2 linked regions of the Nothobranchius furzeri genome follow. The protein of the gene in region 1 binds, or shares a complex with, the protein of each later gene. Links are inferred from orthologs where the notes say so. Each region holds a gene or a part of one and is shown on either strand. Other genes may lie near its edges.

The links.
Region 2: the proteins of ppme1 (region 1) and ppp2r5ca are in contact, whole or in part, in a cryo-EM structure (PDB 7SOY), measured with the Homo sapiens proteins. The link is inferred for Nothobranchius furzeri from reciprocal best matches to the Homo sapiens genes PPME1 and PPP2R5C. Residues at the interface, in NP_057231.1 of Homo sapiens: Arg37, Lys38, Arg39, Asn192, Lys217, Val251, Glu252, Gly253, Ile254, Ile255, Glu256, Glu257, Pro345, Gln346; in NP_002710.2 of Homo sapiens: Asp180, His187, Arg188, Tyr190, Gly191, Leu194, Arg197, Ser230, Ile231, Gly234, Phe235, Ala236, Lys240, His243, Asp313, Gln341, Tyr348, Glu353, Tyr354, Glu399.

The regions. Positions count from the first base shown.
Region 1 is NC_091750.1:48,878,567-48,882,979, forward strand, and holds the start of ppme1 (protein phosphatase methylesterase 1), read left to right. Parts: upstream 1-1,393; 5' UTR 1,394-1,578; coding exon 1,579-1,664; intron 1,665-2,383; coding exon 2,384-2,477; intron 2,478-2,984; coding exon 2,985-3,077; intron 3,078-3,174; coding exon 3,175-3,232; intron 3,233-4,413. UniProt on the Homo sapiens protein: Demethylates proteins that have been reversibly carboxymethylated. Demethylates PPP2CB (in vitro) and PPP2CA. Binding to PPP2CA displaces the manganese ion and inactivates the enzyme.
Region 2 is NC_091758.1:28,640,302-28,644,120, forward strand, and holds part of ppp2r5ca (serine/threonine-protein phosphatase 2A 56 kDa regulatory subunit gamma isoform), read right to left. Parts: intron 3,302-3,819; coding exon 3,174-3,301; intron 2,970-3,173; coding exon 2,868-2,969; intron 2,773-2,867; coding exon 2,700-2,772; intron 691-2,699; coding exon 574-690; intron 1-573.

The sequences.
Region 1 (4,413 bases):
TAACATCTCCTCACCAGCTTCCTGATAAATACAGCACAGATTTAGAAATACTCCCATCTTTTTGTTTTAAAAGCTTTTCACAGAACATCTATTAAAACATCTGCTCTTGTTCTTAATCAGTGAACCACTTCTTTTAAATGCTCCATGTTTCAGATGACAGTTTGAAATAAAAAAAACACATGTAAGTAATAACATTAATAAACTGCAACACTCCACCCTTTTAAGACCAATTTTAGGCCTTTTTTGCTTTTCTGCCCATTACACATAATACAGTTATCAGACTGATCTCTGGAATAAAAATACAATCAAGCAGCATTTTTTTTAATTCTAATACTGACACTCCTCACCAGAGTTGTGAGGTGCTGATGTCTAACCCCAGCAATCACCAGGCAAGAGGCAGGGGACACCCTGGACAGGTCTGCAGTCCATCACAGAGACACACAGAAGCAAACAAGTCACACACTCACTCACACGGGGAAAATTACCTGAAGAATATCCCTGCATGGATGAGAAGAACATGCTAACTCCATGCAGGAAGGCTGCAGCTGGAAGTCAAACGTGCTAACTTCTTGAAAAGGGGCAACAGTGCTACAAACTGCACCACCATGCAGCCCAATAAGTTTCTTATAAATAAATAAAATAAAATAAATATTTTATTTAGCACTATGAAACACACATATTATACTATTTTTTATGTTTAAACCCTCTAATACCCAAAGCTCATGACCATAGGTGAGGATTGGGACGTAGATCGACCGGTAAATCGAGAGCCTGGCTTTCTGGCTCAGCTCCCTCTTCCCCACGACCGAAAGAATGAGATCGCGGATACAAGCGGCCGAAATGAGTTTCCTCCGTAGGGTGGCCGGGCTCAGCCTTAGAGATAGGGTGAGGAGCTCGGACATTAGGGAGGGACTCGGAGTAGAACCGCTGCTCCTCCGGATCGAAAGGAGCCAGTTGAGGTGGTTTGGGCATCTGGTCAGGATGCCTCCTGGACGCCTCCCCGGGGAGGTGTTTCGGGCATGTCCTGCCGGCAGAAGGCCCCCGGGTCGACCCAGGACACGTTGGAGAGGTTACATCTCCAATCTGGTCCGGGAACGCCTTGGGGTCCTGCCGGAGGAGCTGGTGGACAAGGCCGGGGAGAGGACGGCCTGGAGCTCCCTAGTTGGGATGCTGCCCCCGCGACCCGGACCCGGATAAGCGGAGGAAGACGAGACGAGACGAGACGAGACCCTCTAATATTTTTCTTTATCATGTAAAATGTCTTAAGTATTTATTTTAATTTAATTCTGAGCTGGAAACAGACAAAGATGATGCCACCACAGGCTGTAAACCTGTCATATACTGCTTGGTCACTAGGGGGCAGTGATGTGTGACTTCTCCATATTTACCTTTAAGAGCTAGAAAAAGGCAAAGAAGACAACGCGACGCAGAAGACCGATAGCTGTTAGCATTATATTAACACAGTTATCTAATGTCTTACTAACGTATGTAAAACAGTCGGGGGGAAATCATATGCAGCGACAGAAAGAAGCGTTGATAATAAAGAGTCCCTGACAGAGACCGAGCCGTTCTGACAACATGGAGAAGCAGTTGCATTTGAACCTGCTAGCCTCCAGACCTCCTATGGCAGGTGGAATGCAGTCTAGCTCCAAAATGAAAATGGGGTGAGTAATCAACTTGTTGCGTTTGTTCCCACGTGTATCAGCTGTTTAACGTCATATTTATTTTCACCACCGTCACAACAGAGTGTAAAAATATCCCATTATTAGCTCCCTATCTGCTAGCATTATCCAGGCTAAGTAAGCTAGCTGCGGCTTAGAATTTAGTCCATCTTTGTTGAAATCACGAAACTTTTCGCTTGTTTGCATTTATATTAAACATCTGTTCCTGTCCGATAGTATTTGTTGTAACTTTCAGTGAATCTGGATGGAAAAAGATAACGGTAAGTTTAATGATAATGATTTTTGTTTATGTTTATGAATGGGTCATCAGCTGGCTGGTTTGTTCTTTAGTAAACACATTTGTGTTTATATTTATCCATACAGCATGACTCCACGGTGTTTTACATTTGGAAACTAGATATTACACCCTGCCTTTCCCAGGTTTTTGTGGAAGGAAAAAATCTAAAGCTAAACTTGCCGTTTTTTTTATTTTATTTTATTTATTTATTTATTTATTTATTTGTAGTTTTCTAGGTTTGGGTGAAAAGTTTCAAGATGAAAATGCTTTAAAATTGGTGCCCTGTACGTCTGTTGAAAGGACTGGTGATATTTTACACTTAATTATAACATAAACCAGAGGTGTTTTCTTCGCTAAAATGGTCTCATTTGTGCTGTTAAGAGTAAAGTAATGCCTAATTGCTTCTGTTTTATGTTTTCCACAGACCTGGGAGGAAGAGAGATTTCACTCCCTTATCCTGGAGTCAGTACTTTGAAACCATGGAAGATGTTGAGGTCGAAAATGAAAATGGCAAAGATATATCCTTGGCCTCTGTTTTAAGTTTGAATGACTAATAGTGACTCTTAATACAGTTGTGCAAAAAATCTTGAGCCATCTGACGTGTCTTTTGTTTGTCAAGCAGTGAGACTTTCTCATAAATACTTAAGTCATCTTTTGCAGCAGGCTTCCTGATGATCAGCAACATATTTGAACAGCTTTGTCACAATTTGTTAATCAAGCCCTTGAGCCTTTGCTTTATAAAGCCACCTTTTCTTAAATTGTCTTTGAGCCATTCATGGCTCAGCAAAGATAACAGAAAGTGATATTTATGCTATTAGCCAGAAAACAGACTCATCTATGCACAGTGTGAGGTGTGTCCTTAAAAATCAGAGGGAACTTGACAAGAATGGAGGTGGATGGATAAAAACAAACTGCCTACAGCCAATGACGGGGGGAAACTAGAATTTCAAACTGAGTTGTTTATTCTGTTTTGAGCTGCATGTGTATTTGTCGCTCTGGTTTTTATTTCTTTGACAACCCAGAACATTTTCCGACTGTACTGTAATGGCTCCCACGGCCCAGTCCTGTTCTTGCTCCATGGTGGAGGCCACTCTGCACTTTCCTGGGCTGTGTTCACTGTGAGTGTTACTCTCTAAAGTCCCTCTTTCATCACATTGATATGAAGATTTCAGCATGTTTGTTGATCACCTTTTGTCATAAATGTTTTTTTCACAGGCTGTCATATGCAACAGGATCAACTGTAGAGTGGTGGCCATGGACCTCCGAGCTCATGGTAGGTAATGGTCATCACGTTAGAGCCATGTGATTTCTTCACTGATATCAGGTTGTGAATTTGGGCGGGAGACGAGCCACTTCTTAAAATAAAATATCTATATGAGGCTTAAAATGAATAATAAATAAAATAAGTGCATTTTGAGTTTACGAAAAAAGATTATGTATTCAAAAATACAAAATTTGACCTTTATTTAATCGAGGAAGTTGATGCATACTACTAGTTAAGTTATTTTAAAGTGTTTCTGGTTAAGTTTAATACTAGAGTCACACTATCTTTACACTTAAAGTGAATTTAAAACCAAATTTACTATACTGTTATTGAGTAAAGGCAGCTTGGAGTGTCTAATACCAAAAGCCTGTGCCGTCTTTGACTGTTTTCCTGTTTAAACCAGTAATGTTCCGATGGCCACAGAGAAACGGCTTGTTCTGAAACAAGTTGGTTTATCGTGTCATAAGCTTAAACACCACTTTAAATCTGCATGCCCCAACCCACTTAAACGTCTGTTTATCGCGGTGATGCTAACTGCAGAACAACGCTAGCCCGAGCTACTGCTAACGTCCTTGTTGGACAAGAAGAAGTTGTCAAAAAAAGATTATTGAAGCTCTCACATTCCAGGATGTACTGAAGATCCAGACTGTGATTGAGTGACAGATGGAGCCACAGCTTGCCATCTTTTTCTTCAAACCCCTTCACTTGAAACCTAAAGAGTAGTTTGTGCTTCTGCATCAGCTCCACAAGTGAGAGACACACACGCATTGACAGAGACGTTTTGCTCTCGGACTTCTCCGTCTCTTTGGGAGTGTTGTAAAGCAATTCCTCACCAGGACAACGAAGGGCGTAGCGCTGTTCTGAGGTATCCTGTTTTGTATCTGGTTAAAGATGGCACATTTACTATTGTGTTTTTGTTGTGTTTTTTGTATTTCAGAGACTTTTTAACATGGAAAAATGTGTCCCTCATTCTCCTCCACCTCTTCATGCGCTTACACTTAATCTCTAAAACCACAGTTCCCGTCATTTCCATCCACGAATAAAACGCTTGCTGCATATCTTTTTACCCCTCCAGTCACAGGTGAATAAGACGTTCATATAGAGTTTTTCCTTGAGGTATTCTTTAAGCTGCTACTATCTTCGGCTGTCTTTATGCTTTTGAAGGTGCAATGGCAGTGCTGTTGACGAAA
Region 2 (3,819 bases), on another chromosome or scaffold:
ATTCCCAACCCTAGTGATCCAAGGCGTAAGGCAAAGCGGGTTAGAAAATTGCGTTTTGAGCCCCGTTGACTTGCATTCATTTTTTCGTTCTTCCGGGGGCCCATGAGCCGACTGGAAAGGGAGGAGACTTGGGCTCCATATTTTCCTACAGTATGTAGTCAGTTTTCTGTCAGCTCGTCCAACAGAGTGGTGTGTGTGTGCGCGCGCGTTTGTTAAGGGCCCATTTCTCCGATGGAGACATTCTAAGAGTGTGTGGGGGGATGGATGCTGCGAGTCAGTCAGGTGATGCCCCCATCTATCTCATACGTGTTGGGCATGTTCTCACCCAGAAGGGACATATTTATATACCTTAAATTATTTTATTTATACATGTTTTTTTTTTCATATAACACACTGTGGTTTAATGATTTCTGTTTATTTGCCTATGTAAATGTTTGTTCCTGTGCTTTTTGGACTAGAGTAGAAAATATAAAAAGATGTATATATTTAGATGAATAACATTTAGAGCACTAACAGCTTAATAAGGAAACTCTGCAAGCGTATATATCAAAATGCACAGAGAGTCAGGTTTACCTGAGTTGCGCCCTCCTCAACTGTCTTTTTTAACCTCTGAACATCTTCTATCAAAGGGACATCCGTCTCCATTGCTACAGGACTATAGAGGTCAGAGGAATCAACATGTGTAAAGAACTACGTTGAAAAGAAGGGGAAACAAAACAAAAAAAGATGGGAAAAAAGATTTTCAGTTGCAAAGAAGTGATTTTGTTTTTACAGCCTGATTTTTATCGACGATATATTGTTGAAATTTGATTTATAGTACTCTAGTTATTGATCTGTGAAGAAAGTAATTTCTCCATGAGGTTTTTGGAGTTAAAACAACCCCAAAAATTTGGCTTGAATAAAAATTATTTTAGAAAAAAATAAATAAATAAGGGATTTTTGTGCATTTGGGGATTAATTTATTTGCTTGTGGAGTGTAAAAACAGCAGACGTCTCCGCTTTTTATGTCTCAAATTTAAACAGGAGTTACATTTTCTTGAAGATGAAATAAAGAATAGAAAATACTTTGCTAAGATGAAAAAGATTCCTTTTTTATAGAGTTTACATAAGAAGACAGTGGTGTTGCCCTTAAACATCCAAAAAAGAAAACCACCGTGAGAGATTTTGATTAAATCTGTGCAAAAATGCATTTAAAATTTTACAACTTGATATCAGCTGCTCCCCCCCCCCCCCCCCGAGATTTGAGTCATTATCATGTATATTACACCTAAAGGGAAAAAAGTTGTGTCAATAAAACTGTTTTACATTTTAACTAAAACAAGTTAAAGGTAACACTGAAATAAAACTGCATCATATTTAACATTTAGCTTCTGAAATCAGAAAAACACCAATACATTTCAAGACATTTTTGGGTCCCCTTTTTATTATTATTATTTAGTTACTTTTTATTCTTATTCTGTCATTTTGTCCCATTTTTCATAATTAGCATAAAAAGCAATGTTAATATTTCAAACCTATAGTAATATTAAGAATAATTTCTCTTAACATTGAAAACTTAAATGTTGATCCAGTTATTCTTGTTCCTTAGAGCATTGTGTTCTTTTTCATTTTCACGGCATGGCGCTAAATACCAGGGGCCTCATTTATCAAGCTTGCTTACGCACAAAATGGGGTCAGAAAACTGCGTAAGCAACTTTCCACGCAAACTTTGGGATTTATGAAAGAAAACTTAGCAGAAAAATGTGCGCAACTTTAAGTTGACTAAGGACCTGCCTTACGCACATTTTGGACATGGAGAGCACCTGCAGTGCTGCTGAGGATAAAATTATGAAATCCTGCAGCATTATCACTTGTACTGCTTCGTTTTCACACAGAACAAAACCCCTACATGCACACACAGCCTGAAGCGCAGAATACAGAATGCAGAATATCAGCAGGGGGACAGATTGAGACAGAATGTCATGCGTCTGTGACAGTGTGTCCTGTCACTGTGACCCGATTGATCATGCGCCGTGGCTACTTGGACAAGGGAGATCTCTGTTTGGCTGACTGGTTAGCGCGCATGACTTTCACCCGGAAGTCTGGGGATCGAATCCCGATTGGGTCATATTTTTTATATCCGCCACAGATCTCGGACGATTGCATTGACGGCTTCAGCAACGCTGTACCACTCCGTGGATTTACTCTTGTTTGTTTTGCAAAAGCACTTCCTTTCATTTCTCCACCTCACCCACAGGTACCTGAATTTCTGCTTGTGAAATAGCGCTTCCTTGGTCTGCGGTCGTGATCGAAATGCTGCAACAAGCTGGCTTATCTATATGCATGAGGTCCACAATGCACTTTGCATCGACCATTTATGGCAGTAAGTGGGCGTGGTGAGGGCGGGATGTGACTAAAAAGCAGCTGAGAAACTTTCTAGATAGTTTCTTATTTATGAAGCGGAGATTGCTTGCAGCTGTGCGTACTCCATGTTTGATAGATCACAAACCTACTTGGCGTAAGTACATTTTTTTGCTGAGCTTAAGTACGGTTTTAGTAAGGATTCTACGCAATGTTTGATAAATGAGACCCCAGCAGTCTTATTATCATCTTCACCTAATGCAGAAGAACATCTGCACCTCGGTGGGAAACCTGGGAGCTCCATTGCCAGCTGCTGCTTCTTCATGGTGAAAAAGAACCGACGTGCAGAATGGACTCACCTGTGGATTTGATTTGGCGAGATTCTCAATCTTGCTCCAAGCCTCTTCGCGCTCTTTTGACTTTGCCTTCTCCCTGTTTAACAGAACATCACAATTCCTGTCACTCATTTGACTTAATGCCGCCTGCCGGTGACAAAAGGTAATAAGCTTAAAAACTTTGGGGCGTACTTGTTTTTCTCTGCTTTGAACTGCTGTGTGCAATCATCAAAGAGCTTCTGATTCATCTCCATGAAAAGCTTCAGAGCGTTGTAGATGAGGCCATGGATGGTCCTGCGAATATACATTTCAAATTAGGTACATTAAAGCATTTATAGACATAAATGAGGAAAAGTCAGTAAAATGCATCACAAACACCTACTGACGGGTCATCTCTGACACACCCCAGTAAAGGTCGTGTGAGCCGTTTTCCTGTGAGAGTCACAATGAAAGGAACACAGAGCTCCTACAGATGCCTGCTGAAGTCAAACAGCTTACTTGTTCCAGTGTGTCTTCGAGTTGCGGTACAGAGCGGGAAACATGATGGGCAGGATTTTGGCTGCATTGTCGCTGATCAGACTCATGATGTACTCGTTGTTCCAGTAGTACAGCGCTCTCTCGGCCACCTAAAGGGAGCACAGAAAAAGGAGTTGTGAAACGATGACGTGAACGGTTTTGTTCACAGAATCGGGCTTGGAGAATAACTCCTTCCTTCAAATTAAAAGCCTGAATTGTGTTTATTTATTTAATTTTTTTTAGGGTCATTCAAATTTGAATATTGGATCAGAGTAAAAATTATTTACTCATACAAGATTTGCAGAACACCCATTAAGCTTCGTTTGGACTGCTTTAGAGACATCACGGTTACCGGTGTAGCAGTAAACACCTACAGTTGACATCAGTGCAGCTTTTGATACTGTGGACCATAACATCCTTCTGGACAGACTCGCAAACTGGGTGGGACTATCAGGCACACTGCTTGGCAGGTTCAGATCCTATCTCAGGCCTAGTCCACACGTAGCCGGTGTTTTTTAAAAACGAATATCCGCCACTCCAAAAACTTGCATCCACACCACCGCGTTTTAAAAACAAACTCTGTCCACACGTACCCGGATAAATACGTTGTTATGGACATGCCAGACCT